Linked DNA regions of Coturnix japonica. The main gene of each other region encodes a partner of the protein of the gene in region 2 in a complex. Links are inferred from orthologs where the notes say so. Each region holds a gene or a part of one and is shown on either strand. Other genes may lie near its edges.

The links.
Region 1: the proteins of SPTLC1 (region 2) and ORMDL3 are in contact, whole or in part, in a cryo-EM structure (PDB 7K0N), measured with the Homo sapiens proteins. The link is inferred for Coturnix japonica from reciprocal best matches to the Homo sapiens genes SPTLC1 and ORMDL3. Residues at the interface, in NP_006406.1 of Homo sapiens: Ala16, Leu17, Ala20, Pro21, Tyr23, His24, Leu27, Glu28, Leu31, Ile32, Trp34, Ile35, Leu38, Leu39, Ser41, Lys42, Thr43, Tyr44, Lys45, Leu46, Gln47; in NP_001307730.1 of Homo sapiens: Gly92, Val93, Gln94, Phe95, Thr96, Ala97, Lys100, Thr103, Ile104, Ile107, Tyr110, Phe111, Ser114, Tyr119, Gln121, Phe124, Thr128, Leu131, Met132, Leu139, Pro140, His143.

What each region holds. Positions count from the first base shown.
Region 1 is NC_029542.1:3,976,965-3,981,256, reverse strand, and holds the start of ORMDL3 (ORM1-like protein 3), read right to left. Parts: upstream 2,902-4,292; 5' UTR 2,499-2,901; coding exon 2,434-2,498; intron 423-2,433; coding exon 227-422; intron 1-226. UniProt on the Homo sapiens protein: Plays an essential role in the homeostatic regulation of sphingolipid de novo biosynthesis by modulating the activity of the serine palmitoyltransferase (SPT) in response to ceramide levels.
Region 2 is NC_029547.1:39,798,643-39,803,203, forward strand, and holds the start of SPTLC1 (serine palmitoyltransferase 1), read right to left. Parts: upstream 3,021-4,561; 5' UTR 2,953-3,020; coding exon 2,884-2,952; intron 1,905-2,883; coding exon 1,797-1,904; intron 1-1,796. UniProt on the Homo sapiens protein: Component of the serine palmitoyltransferase multisubunit enzyme (SPT) that catalyzes the initial and rate-limiting step in sphingolipid biosynthesis by condensing L-serine and activated acyl-CoA (most commonly palmitoyl-CoA) to form long-chain bases.

The DNA.
Region 1 (4,292 bases), on a different chromosome or scaffold from region 2:
CAGGGCAAGGAGCTGGGTGAAATGCAGGCGGCTGTGCTGCACTCAGCCCCCAGCAGTCATAGCTCTGGGTTTATGTGTTCATGTATTTTTATATCACTGGAGATAAGACAAGCAATCCCAAGGATGGATTCACCACTGCAATGCTCTCAGATGTTAACATAAAGGACACGAAATTGATGGCCACAGCTCCAAAGTATTTTGCCTCTTTGAGCTGGGGTTGGCTTACCATGTTGTGAATGATGTTGGTAAGAGTCCAAACCACGGGGACGCTGAAGAAGGGGATGCTCAGGAGCACGACGTGCAGCAGCCCAATGCCAAGGATGTAGGACAGCCAGATGCCCCGGCTGTTCATCACGCGGGTGTTGGGGTTCACCTCGCTGTGTGCTGTTCCCACGTTCATATTGGCTCTTGTTTTCACCCCTCTGAAACAAAACCAGAGGCAGGTCCGTGCTCAGGTCACTGTTTTCATCCATGTTTCACAGCTTACTGGGGAGCTGAGAGCTGTCTTACCAATGATCAGGGATTACAGGAAAGAGCTGCTGTAATGCAGGATATCTTTGCACAGAGATCAGGGAAGGTCTTGCATAAAACACTCAGCCTGTTTCCCAAGGAAATAATACAGCCTGTCCCTTGCACAGCAGATCCCAAAGCAATGACTTCTCCCTGATGTTCAGCCTCGTGCTTTTGCTGCTTTGCTTTCCACAGCTGAAAACCAAAGCAAGCTGCTGTTCTGTCCAGCTCTTGGTCTCAGGAGGCGAGTCCACGCCAGATCTGACATTATGCTCTGGATGTTCCTGCCAGCTACTCCGAGTTCCCTTTCTAAGTGCTGGGCCTGGTTTGTTTCAGCAGCTGCTGTGCTCTGAGCCTGCCTGCTGCTCACTCACACAGCACGTGTGCAGCTCTGGGATGCTCACTGCTGAGCTGATGGATGCTCCCATGTCTCTACTGCCACTCAGGGAGCTTCAGGTCTGGAATAGGTTTGTGTTTAGGAGGAAAGAGCCTCTGGATCTGCAGGTTGTTGGGTTAGTGGCTGTCAGCTCTGGGTACAAAGCAGCCTGGCAGGGGGGCAGGATTGGAGCTGGAGGTCAGTGCTGGGAGAGCAGCTCCATCCTCAGTGTGGCCACAGCCCTGAATGGCTCTCAGAAGGAAACATGGGGGTTGTGCTGAAGTGTAAGAGGAGGTGAAGATGTCCCACTATGGGGGGAAAGGGAAAAAGGGAAGGAAGAAAAGCAACCACCGCTGTGGAATGCGTAAACAGGAGAGCTGCCTGCCAGACAGGAGAAATAATCCTCCCAGATATTGGTGAGGCCTCAGCTGGAGTAATGTCCAGTTCTGCTGGAGGGAGTCCAGGGCAGAGCTGTGAGAATGAGCAGAGGTGTAGGAAAAACATGACCTGCAAGGCCACGCCGGAGGAAACGGCTTTGTTTAGTCTAGAGAACACTCAAAGGAGAGCTAATGGATGGACCCCAAATGCATGAAGGATCCCTGCAGAGAATGGGGACCAAACGTGGGGTGAAGTGTGCAATGGAAGTTCAGAGCAATGCAGGAACACAGAGCTGATGTGGGATAAAGTGCAGCTTCTGTCTGGGATGAACCATGGCTCTAATGGCACTAAAAACCAATGAGCAACTGCTCCGTGCTGCTGTCTGCCAAGCAGGGCAGCTGTGCACTGCAGTGGGGTGGCAAAGGGCAAAGCTGAATGTGAAGCAATTCTCCTCTGCCTCAGTTTCCTCACTCACTGCAGTGATTGGGGTGGTGAAGCTCTCATTAATACAGCACAGGAGGTTAATTTGTTCTTGCAAGAGAGCAGTGGGGAGGTCAAGCATTAGGCCACGCGATAACACTTTGTGTTCTTCCAATTTGGCCTTTTCCAGCTTCAAAAAGCCTTTCCTTGTTGAATCTTTTTCCATTTCCAGACTCGTGTTTGCAGCCCTGGCCTGAGCTCTTTGCTCACTTCAGATTGCACACTGAGCTTTGCACGTTATTGCACAAGCCCGGCTGAGAGCAAGCTCCCAAACACAGCTCCCAAACAAACACAGCTCCCATGCACAGCTCCCCGCCCCCAGCCCAGATCCCTCCTCGTTTGCTCTCTGATTTTACACTGGGGATTTATTCACCTGCAGACAGAAAGAAACCCCAAAGCCAACCACAAAAGCAGGAGGACGTCCAGGAGCTGCACTGCTCTGAGCTGCAACTTCCCAGCTGTGCAGTGTTGGGTCCTGGCAGGGCAACGTTCCCCCAGGCTGAGGGTGAAGGTCAGCGCCGTGCTGACGTCTGTGCTGAGCACAGCTGGATGTGAGCAGAGCCCTGCCATGGGGGATTGGGGCCTTTCCTCACTGCTCACACTGACACACACACGGGTCCCGCTGCTGTTCTGCCCTGTGGCACAACTGACACCAGCAGCCCCCATAGAGCAGCCCGTGCATCCCTCACCTCCTGCTTTGCCCCCAAAGGAGCATCCCCTCCTCCTGCTCCGTTCTGCCACCCAACAAACACATCACCCCGGTTGCTGTGCTGGCTCCGCAGCTCCTGCTCGGGGCTTGATCAGAGCGCTGCAGAGATGGGGAGGGCGGCAGGTGCTTATCTCGGTCGATCTGCTCGTTCCCAGCCACGCAGGAGATTCTGATCCGACGGCCGGAGCCGCGATCCCAATCTCTGGCAGCAGCAAATCCCCAACTCCCGAGAGAACGAGTATTTCAAAGCCTTTCTTTGCAAGATGGCAACGCCGTTTGAACGGGCGGATCGGAGACGGCAGCAAACACGGCCGGGATCGGACGGCGGTGGGAAACGGCCGCGGGGTGGGAAACTCCGCACACAAAGGAAGCGCTACAAGTGAACGAGCTCGGTGCGACCCGGAGCTGCACACAAAGCCCTGGCCGCATCCCAACAGCGGCACGGCACGGCACAGCACGGCACGGCACAACACGGCACGGCACAGCACGGCACAGCACGGAACGGAACGGAACGGAACGGCTCGGCACGGCACGGCACGGCTCGGCCCTCTGCCCCGCAGCGCCCACCGAGCCCCGCTCCCACCGCCCGACCCTCCCCGTCTCCCATCCCCGACGGCCCCGCAGCGCGGAGCTGCACCGCGTGCCCCGCACAACCGGCCGGTCCCGCACCCGGCCCGCACTCACCGCCCGGCCCGGATCCTCCAGCCCCGGCTCGGCCCGGGATCTCCGCCGTTCTCCCGGCGGACACCTCGGCACGGCCCGCCCCGCCGCCCGGCACCACGGGAGCTGTAGTGCGGCAGCGCCGTGCGGGGATGGAGGGGGGCGGTGCGGGAGCGGAGCTGTGCGGGGCAGCGCTGCGCCGTGACGGTACAGCGGGGCGGCCGGGGGGTCCTTGTGCCCTTTGGGGTCGGTGCTGTGCGTGTTCTGCTCCGGTGTTGGTTCGCTTCTCTTGTTGTAGCCATAATTAACGGCCCGTGATGCGTGAAGCACCGCGCGGTGTTCGGGTGTAACATGGAAATGGAGTTAATTTGCGGATTAACCAGGGAAGAGAGTGATGCAGAGTTATACTGAGTTATACCCACTGGACATAGTGCACTGTGTGCTGCTGGCTGAGCAGCTTTAGCTCTTGGGGTTCATTGGAGTTTTGGGTGGGAATATCGGGATATCGGCTCCAGCTGTCGGCATTTCGGATCCCCTGCATTTTGTGCATGGAGGGATGCGGTCACCTCAGCACCTGCAGCCCTGCTATCCGTGCTATCTGTGCTCAGTGACCCCGCAGCTCGGTGCATGCACTGCACCATGCATGGCTGAGGGCCGGGGGCTGCATTGTTGGGTACCATCTGTCCCCGGCCTTTGTCAGCGCAGCCATCGCTGCTCTCCCCACGTGCAGCCATCTGTGCAGGCTTTGTGCACGCTCAGCTCCTGCCGGGGAGCAGCGGAGGGTGCAGAACGGCGGAGCCGCTCGGCGGGGTCTTTTTCAGGCAGCTTTGGGGTCGTTCGGTGCTGAAGCCCCCAACCCCCCCCCCCCCACCAGCTGCTCGTAGAGCTGAGCGCCTCGTGTGCGCCCTCATGGGCCGGAGGATGGATCCGGCACATCGCTGCTGCTGGGTGGGACCGGGGCATCCTGAGCATCACACAGCAGCATCTCCCTGCCCACAGCCACAGCTTCCCCTGCCGGCTGCTCCTGGAGGACCTCGGCCTTGTGGGGACCTGGAAAACCCACCCGCATCCTCCCGGTGCTGCAGGGATGCTGTAGCGGAGGCGGGATCCCTCGGGAGCAGCCCTGCTTTGCAGGGGAGCCACGCACACGGCAGCTCTATTTTTATCCCCTCTCCTGCC
Region 2 (4,561 bases):
CAGTTCGTTAGTTAATTATTCAAGAGTTTCATTTCTTTTTAATTTTCTTTTTTTAAATTGAACCAACAGCAATATACACGAGCAGTGTTACGAATGCTGACAGTCAGCCTGAAAGCTAATTCTTGCACTAGGTTTCATAGTACTATTGCTACACATTTGACTAAACCCAGGAGACATGTCTGGGTGGATTTCTTCACTGTTTTAGAAGTGTGACTTGTAAGTTCACTAGATTGCACAACATATAATCTACTTCTCGTTTTCCAAGTCAGACTGGTCCTGACAGATCATGCTATATGGCTATGCAATACTGGTAGTCTTTGGTAACAAGTAGCATGTGAAGTCAGCTCTTCACTGGCAGCATCCCCAAGAGCAAGTCACTAAGAAACATCAAGTATTGTTACGTAACTGGCTGTCATAAGGGTAGTCTGAGCTCCACTGTGTGAGCTGACTTATCTCCACTGCCTGCATACAAAAATCCCAGTCATTACTTCTGGTGTTGCAGAGACTGGACACCACAGCTTGAATTAAACTAGGACAACGGAGAGGGCAAATAAGCAGCACTCTCCTTGCTGGCATGCTACTACATGTAGCTCAACAAACACAAAAGCCAGCTTGTACAGAATCTTATATTGCATTAAACAGATCAGCTTAAGCTATCTGAAGATTCTTAGTGAAGATTAAGATTTTCTTCGCTGCCTACAGCCATTTCACACACAAAAGAGCTTTTTCACATCACCTGCAAAAGTGACAGAATCCCACCATAGCTTTGATTTTTTAGTCTGCTTAAGTACTCCTCCAGCTGCAGAAGGCTTATTCACATTTTTACTTCACTGCTGTATTTATGATTACTTTCAATTAATTACAGAACTGCTTTGCATACTGCACATTTACATTATGTTATTGTAATGCGAGCACTGTACATTACTTACAACACATAAGCACTTTTTTACAGGACATTCCCTTCCAAATACAGCTGTTCATACTGAGAACATTCCTTCAATTTTCATAGATCGGACCAATTTAAATTTCCTTTATCAATTGTCAAATAACTTAAATATATCACCAGACTAAAAGGCATTTCCTCAATCTGTACTTTCCATCAAGAACAGTTAAGGCTGGAAAGGACTAAGGAGGTAATCAAGTCCAAGCTCCTTGATCAAGCAGAAATATCTAGAGCAGGCCATCCAGGAAACACCAGATACCGGTAACAAAAAGCTACAGGTGTCAATAATTAACATCTCAAGTCATACCCTTCGCTATACTGCAGCTCTTAGCACTTCAGCCTTTACTCTTCTTTGCCCTGCAACTGAAAATTAACGTATCCAGTATCCATATAGTGTAATTTTTTACAATTTTTATTCCTAGCAATTAACATTCCTTTCCACTTCTCAAGTTCAACAAACTTCACATGAATCTCATGAGAAGTACCACAGCAAGAACTTATTGTATGCAGTCGAGGGATATCTGTAAAACACATTGTACGCATTTATGTTTGTCACAACTTCTCTGGGCAACCTGTTCCAGAGACTCCCTGCCCTAGACTAAAGTCACTTTTTACTAGCTCATTAGTCTTTCCATGGTTATATTAGTTTTGTTACTTTGTTTTCTAACATTTTTAGACTCCCAAATGTCATGCTTACTTTAGAAGCATGAACTGAAGCGTTTAAGCAATTCCTTACTTAAAAGTTTATCCCTTGATATCCTAAGAAAAACTAGCATAATTTGCTGCAGCAGTGGCTCAAACACATCAGTTTCTACCAACTGTTCCCACAAAGAAAAATATTTTTCCACCATACCTTAAGTGTTAGATCAGATCGCTCTTGAAGCTTGTATGTTTTGGAGAAAATAAGCCTGATTATCCACAGAATTAGAATTCCTTCCAAAATAAGATGGTATGCAGGAGCCTGAAAATAAAGCACAAAAAGTACAATAACAAAATTCAATAGTCTCTAGTAGCAGAAGTAACTTAAGGTCTTTGTGTAGTTACGGCAACATTATTTGACACATGGTTTAAAGGATGAGTTCAGTTAATTCATTTCAGCAAGGTTACAGTCTATACTGCAGGTGCGTACTACTTCTAAAAGACTCAAAGAACACACACAGTAGAAAGATGATATTTTCTTGAGTGCTAGAACTTGAGATCACATTTTGAACCAGCCCCTGGGATTTTTCCCAAGCATTACCAACAATGCCACGCAGCTTTAAGACAGAACTTGAACCCAAAGTCATGTTATCTATTCACATCTGACCGAGAATAAAACTCAAAACACCTAACTTTTGCGAATTAACTATTCAATAAACTAGGTTTCCCAACTGAGACTGCTGTTTTGTTACCACCTGCCTGGTTTTGCAAAAGAAGTAAAACAAACAAGCAATTCCTTCCAGACAGCCTCGCTGATCGATATCAAAGAAAAGCCACAAACAGTGAGAAGAGCATGCTACTTGCCAGCAACTTCAAACACCATTTGGAAAAAAAAAAAACACAAAACACACAAAAACATCTTATTCTAACTGGAGGCAAGTCAAATGCTTGTTCAGTCGCTCACCCAAATACACACGCTACAGTCATTCCAGACTGCAGTTTTTTAAGCAGCCTGCATCTTTAAAAGATCTGTTGCAGCCTTGCACGCTCCACAGAGCTACAGGGAGGAAGGCGCTGGTGGAGCCGCCGGCGAGGCTCCACTCTATCTCGCGGCCGTTTCCTTCTGGGGGTCAGAACCCCGCTTTCCGCTGTCTGTACCAGGAAATCCCTACACCAGGACCAAGGCCGTGCGAAGCCGCAGCGAAAGAGCTCAGTCGCTCCGGTTGGGCCTCGGTCCCCACTGCGACTCCGTCGCGCAGCACGTAACCTCGCCTCCTCCCCCTCACCCCACGGCAACGCACCTCGTAGAAGGCCTGCACCATCTCCACCAGGACCCACTGCTGCCCCATGCCCACAGCCGACGCCGCCATGGCTACCTTCTCCAGTCGACTCACAACCGACCAGCTTCCGTCCTTGCCCCCCGACGCCGACGTAAGGGGAGGGGCCGGGGCTGAGAGGGGCGGAGCGTTTACAATGGCGGCCTAGCGGGTGGAGGGCGGAGTGTTGGAGTGGGCCCGGCGCCATAGCCTGTGGGGAAATGGGGGGGCGTGGGGATGGAGGGTACGCTGCTGCCAAGGACACTGCTAGTTTGGCTTTTTTTGTTGTTGTATTGAAACCTGATGCTCAACCAAGGTGATGTTGGCAGCAGCCACAGAAAATTTACCAAGTCAGAGAGCATAGTTGGTTTGGGGGAGCTTAGTCGTAAGCCCCAAAAACATGTCTCAACTCTTAGTGGGGAGCAGAAGGATGGTGCAAGGGTGTACTGTGCAAGCACCAAGGAGAACTTGAATATTGAGTTCTGTGATTTATTTGATATGCATAGAAGTGAAGCAAGTTGAGCACAGGATACATTTAGTATTGTCTCAAGCCACACACCATTGCCTCCTGGAAGTATTCTTACTCCTGATTCTGTAGTGCATTAGCTCTAGATTAACTAAATCAGTAAAAATCTGCTTCATGTTATCTGTTATCTCTCTGGAGATCACAAGCTTCTGCACAATGCTGTGCAGGAGTAAGGGCACCCATTGGTTAATGTACTTATACATTCTATGAATCTCAGTCTTTGACAGAATCTTGAGCTGCTTCAGCTGTAGTGATTAAAGTGACATGAAGTGGCAATGCCAAAGGACCAAATGTGACCTCAGCTGCTAGAAGCTGATTACTATCATTATTATCCTGAGCAACCAGTCCCCTTTTCTAACTGTTTTGAGTGAAACTTGGGTAGACTTTCAGATAAAAAATCTAACATATGGGATGTAGGCACAGTATTATCTCCTGCCTACACTTCTCTTTGCAGTGACTAGATGGGCTTTTCTGAACTGGGCTAAGCACTTAAGTTTCCAGCAAATGGCAGATGGAAGTATCTTAATTGACAATAGATAAGCCCAGTTATATGCTAATTAGAGAAAACTTGTGTTAGGAACTTGCAAGAGCATCCTAACCAGCCTGCTAAGATCACCAACAGAATAGACACAAAATGAGAATGCTTCCCTTACAGAGACAAGGTTACCCATATGCAGTGTTGCAATACTAAGCTAGGTTTTCTGTCTTGTGTGGTTAAATCCCACACCTCTCTCGTTCAAATCATACTTCAGATATACTCAGGTTGGGGATTTGCAAGCCAGAACTTTCTCTTGGGCTGTTTCCTTGTATTGCAGAAGGTGTAGGTGGATGGCTTACCCATTCCTCTATGTAAATACTCACCTGGATTGATAGCCACCTTATACTACAAAACCATAGTCAAAACAGCACACCACTTACTCTAAATCATTTCAGTTTGAATCTCTAATCTTTTAGAAACAGAAGTGCTGTAGTAAATACAACAACTTGGAATTTGTGTTTTTCAGTTCTTTATGTCCCACCTTTTCCTCATGGTGAATTGTCTATCTGCATATTTGGATTAAAAATATGGCAGATGTGAAGAGCGGACTTTTATCTGAAGTCACTGTAATAACTCCAGCAGTTTATAGCAGGTCCAGA